Linked DNA regions of Stegostoma tigrinum. The protein of the gene in region 2 purifies or fractionates together with the protein of the main gene of each other region. This does not show direct contact. Links are inferred from orthologs where the notes say so. Each region holds a gene or a part of one and is shown on either strand. Other genes may lie near its edges. The genes, in order: mta2 and zeb2b.

Region 1 (3,911 bases), on a different chromosome or scaffold from region 2:
TTTCTTGACAAGTTGTCCATACCAGGTGAATTTTTAAGTTCCCCAACTATGATTTGTCCCTGGTCCTTCAGCAGTCTCTTGTACTTGGTCAGGATTCAAGTTGGTTGAGAGAGATTTTTGGTACATTATTAGGGCCACAGCTGCTCTGAACAGAGAATTTGCATCTTGTTTTTCTGACTGGGATTTTAGACAGGAACCTTTCAAAAGTCAACCTCAGTTCACAAAACTTACAAACTACACCTCCACATGCTCCCCAACCCCCAAACACAGTGGTCATGGAGTTGTATGGCTCTGGCTTGATACATCCTTGATTCTTTTTAGCTCTTACTCCACACAACATCAGAGCCTTTTTGATCCACTGATCTTTAAACCTTGAAATGTTCCTTCCTTCCATTTTATCCCTGACTGTATGTTATTATTCCCACCCCAAAATGACTGCTGTTGCCTCTATCCTGACTCATCTCGACTTTCATTCCAGCAGTTTCACCTCTTTCCTCAGCTTGCCCGCATGTTGTAAGAATTTCACGTATACATTTGTCAGTTTTAGCCTCTAATCTCTGGCTTTTATTTCATATTTCCTGATTGCTGCTTATCACTGAGAACCCAACTCTCCTTGTGCCAGGTCTATCCCAATGAGGTATACAACTAAACATGCCCACCAAACCCCCTCCCCCAACCTGAACTTCTGCCAAAATCTACAAAAATCTGACAACATACCCCCACCTCCAAACCCCTTTTTGACTATTACCTAATTTTATTTGGCAAGTATTCTTGTGTTTGAAATCCTTCTTTAGCTTATCATACAAATTTTGTCATTATGCCATCCTTATTTCAATTTCAAATATTTGTTCAGCACCTTTACATGCTGACCCTCTTTTTAATGTTTCCTGACCACAGAGCCCTCCACTGATCCCTAAACACTGACTTACTCCTAACTTTAATCATAAGCCCACAACTTAATCATCACCTCCACCTCCAAACTTGAGTGCACCTCTCATCTTGGACTGCCCTCGCCCTGGTCTCTGGCCTCAGTTTGTCCCTCACCTCAGTCCCCAAATGTTCACCCTTTATTGTGATCCCAAAGCTCCGAAATCACTTCTCGCCCCCATTCCCAAACACTGACTTGTCCGTCTCATAATCACTGGACATTTTACTCTTTTTTCTTATCATTAGTTAATGGGATGAGGGTGTCACTGACCAGGCAGTATTTATTGCCTATCCCTAAATGCTCAGTGGGCAGTTAAGAGTCAACCACATTGTTGTGGGTCTGGAGTCACATTTAGGCCAGACCGGGTAAGGCTGGCAGTTTACTTCTTTTAAGAAAATTAGTGAATTAGATGGGTTTTCCCAACAATCAACAATGGATTCATGGTCGTTAGATTCTTAATTCCAGATATTTTTAACTGAATTCAAATTCCACCATCTGCCATGGCAGGATTCGAACCCAGGTCCCAGGAATGTTATCCAGGGTCTCTGGATTAACAGTCCAGTGACAATACCACTTGTCCATTGCCTCTCCATTCACTTGTCTGATCTCTAAACAAGAATTCCGCACGTGTCCCAATCCTTGACCCACTAAGCCACCACTTATCCCTTGGCCTGATCCCAAAACCCTACCTGAGCTCCCCCGCCCCATCCTGTCCCAGTTCAGACCTGGCTTGCCCTTCACACCCAACTACCCAAAATCTAAAATTCTGATTCAATTAACATCCCAACCCCCAAATCCTAGTTGCTTGTAATCTTATTTCTGGTGCCAGTTTGCCAATTGCCTTGATCCCCAAATCCCATGCTAACCTGTACCCCCAAAGCTCTGTTAACACCTGGCCCCTGTTTTGGGCCTCGGTTTGCAGTTCACCCCAGATTTTGGCCACTCACCCTAGCCTCTGCCCCAGTGGGCTTTTTAGCCCTGGTTTCTGTTTACCCTGCTTGTACCTTGCCCTTGTTTGTCCCATTGCCGAACCCCCGCCCATCCACAGCCCCTGTATGACCCTTCACCCCAACTACCTCAATCTGGCCATTGCCCCCAACCCACCACATTGCCCTATCCATGGGTCCTGTTTGGGCCCCCTAGCCCATCCCCCATGGCCCCTGGCTCCCAATAACCCACATGCCCAAGTCCCTGGCCACCACATTTCCCCCAACTGCCTCCACCCGCCCATGCCCCCTCGGCCTCTCAGCCCCTCTCCCCTACTTGCCGGCTGTAGTCTGAGCCCAAACCACCACCCCGCCACCTTGGTGCACTGATTCGAGCTGCTGTCTTCCTCTTCCATGTCTGCCTCTTGTTGTAAAGTTTGGCTTATAGCTGCTGCCTGGCACTTTGTTGTTTCTCAGGCTCTCTGTCCCCAGTCCCAGCCTCCCTCCTCCGGTGAGACACACACAGAGAGAGGCAGCGATGGCTGAGCGCCGGGCCGGCCACCCTCACTCACTCACTCAACTCACTCACCTCCCACTCTGTACATGTTGGCTGCCATGTCGCCCTCCCGGTCTCTCTCCCTGAGGCCGAGCTCCTCTCCCTGGCGGATCGCCGTCCCTCCCTCCCGGAGCAGACACGGGCAGACGGGCGGAGGGAGAGGGAGGTCTCTTCCTCCTCTTACTCCGGGCCCTCCTTCTCTGTCGAGGGGAAAGAGCGAACCCTCCCTCCCCCTCCCGGGCCAGCCCCTACCGGGGGAGGGAAGGAGGGGGGGAGGAGGGCAGTGCGCGGGCACGCGGCGGGGGACGAAGAGGGGAGGTAACGCGCAGTCACGCGGCAACGTGCTCGGACGGAATAAGCGCGGGCACGCGCCTGAGTGAAGCGAGCGTGCGCACTTGGGGTGAGCGCGAGCGCCCGACAGAGTGACGCGATGGTGCGCACTCGGAGTGAGCGCAGGCACGCGGCGGCGTGACGTTGCCCGGCGCGCAGTCGGGGGAGCGCGCGGCAGCCGGCGCGGAGGCGGGAATGTGCGCGAGGGACGTTTGGCGGTTGTCACCAGGACGCACGCGCGGGGCCGGCGACGGGAGTCACTCTTCCCCACCCTCCACCCCACCCAGTCCCAACCCCACCCCCACCCCACACCCCTAACTACCCCACCCAGTCCCAACTCCACCCACACCCCTCATCCACCCCACCCAGTCCCAACTCCACCCCCACCCCACACCCCACACCCCTCATCCACCCCACCCAGTCCCAACTCACCCCACCACCACCGCACCCAGTCGCAACTCCACTCACACACCCTCATCCACCCTACCCTGGTTCCAACTCCACCCCCACCCCTCACCACCCCACCCAGTCCCAGTCCCAACACCACCCCCACCCCACACCCCTCATCCACCCCACTCAGTCCCAACTCCAGCCCCACCCCTATTTGGTCCCAACTCCACCCCAGGCTCCCAATCCCACCCTGTCCCAACTCCACCCCACCTCTCACCCACCCCACCCCACATCCTTCATCCACCCCACCCAGTCCTAACTACACCCCCACCCCTCATCGACCCCACCCAGTCCCAACTCCACCCCACCTCTCACCCACCCCACCCCACATCCTTCATCCACCCCACCCAGTCCTAACTACACCCCCACCCCTCATCGACCCCACCCAGTCCCAACTCCACCCCCACCTCACATCCCTCACCCACCCCACCCAGTCCTAACTCCACCCCCACCCCACATCCCTCACCCACCCCACCCAGTCCCAACTCCACCCCCACCCCACACCCCTCACTACCCCACCCAGTCCCATCTCCACCCACACCCCTCATCCACCCCACCCAGTCCCATCTCCACCCACACCCCTCATCCACCCCACCCAGTCCCAACTCCACCCACACCCCTCATCCACCCCACGCAGTCCCAACTCCACCCCCACCCCACACCCCTCATCCACCCCACCCAGTCCCAACTCCACCCACACCCCTCATCCACCCCACCCAGT
Region 2 (3,911 bases):
TCTTTTAACTTGTATGTTGCAACATTAAGAAAAATGATTTATCGAATTCTTATATTGAAAAAAATAGAATGATTTCTGGCTTCAGCTTTGGATAAACTTTTGGCAGTGAGCACAGAACTTCCCTCGGACAGGAATGGAGGAGATTTTGCTGTGAAACTCCATAAACTTGGTTTACATTTCGACAGAATCCCCCTTAACCAGGTCATTTTGTTCAAACAATTTATAAATCCAGTCGTTATAACGAAGCAGCTTGAGCTACCCTTAACCATTGATGTTGAAATAATTACAGGAGTTAAAAAAGAGACATCTCGGGAATCAAGACTTTTTCAGATCTCTAGGGAGCTCACTTATATTTCGTTACAGAAACCACAACATCTCATAAATTGTACATGCTTAGGAAAAGATCTCAGCGTCCCTCCCATTCGTGCGATAATAGAGGACGGGCTTCGATGAATTATCAATCCGATGTCTTATCACCCTCTGTCTGCTGATTGAAAACTTAATTAACCAAACAGGAGTTAGCGACATGTCAGAACGCTTGGGGCTGTGACAGAGCCAATGGTAGCATTGCGGAGGCTGAGCTTTTTTGGACTAACGGTGAGAAGCAGATATTCGGACAAGTACAACCAGTCAGTAAAAGTAGGGGAAAAGCGCACAGACACAGTGGCGCGGATAAACGCACATGAGCACTTACAAACATAAGGCATTTGGCAACCACACCCCATAAACCCAAATCTATGCGCTGCTTCATCCCAACAACCTCACGAAATCCCATCCTTGTGGGTCGTGGTTAAGTTAAAACCAGGTATTCTTTTATTTCCCATGTGAATTCGTCAACTTAATGCGTTAACCCTTTGGCCGCCAGTGCGTTTCACACCGCCCAATGCCCACACCCATCATTTTTAGATCGGTTACTTGGGGTTAGAGGGTCAGAACGGTGGTTTGAATAATCTTAAGAGTTTGCTGTTTAAAACCAAGTCCTTAAAGATCAGGATAATTAAATTGCAAATCACAAGACACTGGGAGAGAACAGTCTACAAGGGCCATTCCTAAAAAGACTCCCACGTTTTGCTTGAAAATCAAAAGTTCCCACGGTAGAAACCCATAAAAGTTTTTTTTTGTGAAGAGGTTATTTCGAGTGTCGCATTCTGTCGGGTCGGAGACGAGCTGAAAAGTTGGACATTTCAGGATTCGGACGGAGTTGGCCAAACAAAAAAAGACGCGAGCTCCCAAACTTTCGGTTAAATAATAAATGTTATTGAAATAAACATGTGTGCGTTTGGAGCGGGGTAGAGGGGGGGGAGAGGTGATCTGTAAAAAAAAGAATCAACCCCGGTACTGATCCCGAACGCCAGCCTCATCTGGTGAACATAGCGATGCATCCAGCTCTCCCGCTGCCTCGCCTCTGTGTATTGAATAGGAGTTGGAAAGGACTGGAGTTTTTTGCTTTGACTCACTGAGCAGCGCGGGGCTGTGTGATCAGGACATTCAGATACAGCTAACCCTGTAAGAATGCCATTTCAGGATTACGTCGATCGAGGGAGAGAGGCAACTGCATTCCCACTGGTCACCAGCCTTCCCCCTTGCCCCGTCCTCTCTGCTGATGGCTGTGCATTGAAAAGGTAATTTAATCCAGATTCGGACTGGACACTCAGAGGGAGAGAGAGGGAGAAAAATGTTTGAAAACGTCACATCTACCGATGATCACGTTTACGGATCTTCAATTATCCCTTACCACGAAGATAGGTGGCGTGCGTTTCTGGGGCCGCACTTCAGGGACTCTCTTTATAGAAAAATGTCATTCCAACAAGCGGAACACGTCAGTCCGTCCACAGGTTGTGTTTCCTGGTGTGAGAGACAACGGAGCGATCAGTTCTAACCTGCACAGCAGGAATAACGGTCCTTCCTCAAGTCTTTAAGGGTTTCTTCTTTTCCCTTTCCTTTTAAACAAAAATCTCGCCTTGATCTTCATGTTCCTTTATCTGCACGCTGTCGACCTCCCAGCAGTCTTACTGAACAACAGAGCCAGGACAGAGCAGGTATTTTAAACATTTATCTATCTATTTACAGATTGAGATTTTGTGCGCAGGTATTGTTGCGCGAGTGGAGATGAACTTTAGAGATTTTTTTCCCAGCCGACCCCTCTCTGATCCTGCCTGCATTTTAGGCGCAAAACTTTGTTCAAGTACCTGACATCCAGGTGTTAGAAAAAGGTGCTGAAAGGGGGCAAAATGAAACATGCCCGTTAACTGATATGAATCTTCGCACTAAAATGTCAGTTTTTAATTTTCCTTCCAGGACGCGTGTTTCTGGTTTTGTGATTTTATGTTATTTTTAGTGAGCAATAGGTTATTGAAAGGAACCGTTACCTGCAGAGACAGCGCCTTACAATGTGTTTGCCCCTCATTGCAGCTCCAATGTAGATCGGAAATTTCGAGAGATTAGACAAAATCGATAGATGTTTCTTAATTCTAAACGATTGATTTCAGAAAAGGGGACGCGGTTTGTAAATATACAACCGAGTGAAACAGTCCGCGTCCCCAGTTCGCTGTGAATACGTTTGTTGCCAAAACTTTGAATCGTATTTTGAACTGAGTGGTGCTTCCACTTTTGTGTGTGTGTGTGTGTGTGTGTGTTGGACTCTCAGCTTTAAGGAAAGGAAAACTGCGAACTTATGGACTGGTGGGAGGGGGAAGGTGGTGGCGGCTGACAAAATTCAATTAGAATGGCAAAAGAAAAGTGAAAGGTGGGGTTCGTGTTGAAGGCGAGTTTATGGCTAAGTGTTTTCTGCCCAGAATTCAAGGGACCGGGCGATGTTTCAAGTGTACTTCATTGTGTAGGAGCAGCCGTAATTGCTTATTTCCCCCTTTCACTGAAATAAGTAAAAAAGTGCAGTTGTGTGTGGCACACTGATGGCATTTTTCACTATGACATGCTTGGTCGCTTATGTGAATTTATTACATAAGCTTAGTCAGACTGGCCATTTTTTGAGTGATCTTATACTCTTTGTTGCTGTATGCGTTTTTTTAATTAATGTGGATTGCGGTCGGACTTTCATATCTACCAGGAACAGGAGTAAATATCTGCACATTGAACGTATAGTTTGTGTGCGCTGGCCGCTTGTTTGATGCGAACCTTTTTTTTGGAACAGCGCCTGGACTGGCCCCCCCCACCCCCATTTTTCGTTTCGGTTTGAATTCACAACAAAACGTTTATAAAATGATCATTTCCTGCCCTGGTTTGCCTGGCGTAAATCAGTTGTGTGTGTCCTTTAATTTTTTAAAATTTTTTTTTGAAAAAGGACATCTGTAAATTTGGGGGAATTACCACAATCATGTCATATCACAGTTACACTTTGCCTACATGAGCCGGAATCACCTTTAATCATCGCGGGTGTTTGATGCTTTGCGTTTTGTGTGTGTGTGAAATGAGGATTTGTAATAGCTGTGTTTTTTTTACGGGGAGTGTTTTGAAAAAGTAAATAAAAAGAGGCAGAAGTGTAAATTCCAGAGAGGGCGGAAATGCATAGATGACACCGAGTCTGATCTCAGCCGGCACCGTTAGTTTGCCATTCAACACCTCAGTTTGCAGACGTTGCTGTAGTTTAACGATCCCACGTTTCCTACAGTCAGGAGGAATAAAAATCAAACATTTTTTTTCTGAGAGGTCCTGCAGAGCAGTTCAATGCCGGTCCTCACGCCCAACGAACGGTACCATCGAACGTCCTGCTTTCCGCCTCTTCCCCCATCTCGTAAGTCAGCGTTCCCTTCCCTCCGACAAACAAAAGAGTAAAAAAGTCAACAAGAAAACAAGCCCCCGGAGGTTGGAGTGGAGGGTGGTGGAAGGGAGGGGGGGAGGAGGAGGGTGAGAGGAGGAAACAATCGCCTTGTTTTGTCTCTTTAAAAAAAACA

Evidence for each region.
Region 1: the proteins of zeb2b (region 2) and mta2 purify together in Homo sapiens (affinity purification with western blotting; 3 studies listed by BioGRID and IntAct, with this or other methods). This does not show direct contact. The link is inferred for Stegostoma tigrinum from reciprocal best matches to the Homo sapiens genes ZEB2 and MTA2.

What each region holds. Positions count from the first base shown.
Region 1 is NC_081395.1:3,149,720-3,153,630, reverse strand, and holds the start of mta2 (metastasis-associated protein MTA2), read right to left. Parts: upstream 2,556-3,911; 5' UTR 2,472-2,555; coding exon 2,444-2,471; intron 1-2,443. UniProt on the Homo sapiens protein: May function as a transcriptional coregulator. Acts as a component of the histone deacetylase NuRD complex which participates in the remodeling of chromatin.
Region 2 is NC_081360.1:80,650,455-80,654,365, reverse strand, and holds the start of zeb2b (zinc finger E-box-binding homeobox 2b), read left to right. Parts: upstream 1-1,425; 5' UTR 1,426-2,039; intron 2,040-3,573; exon of another isoform or gene 3,574-3,751; intron 3,752-3,911. UniProt on the Homo sapiens protein: Transcriptional inhibitor that binds to DNA sequence 5'-CACCT-3' in different promoters. Represses transcription of E-cadherin. Represses expression of MEOX2.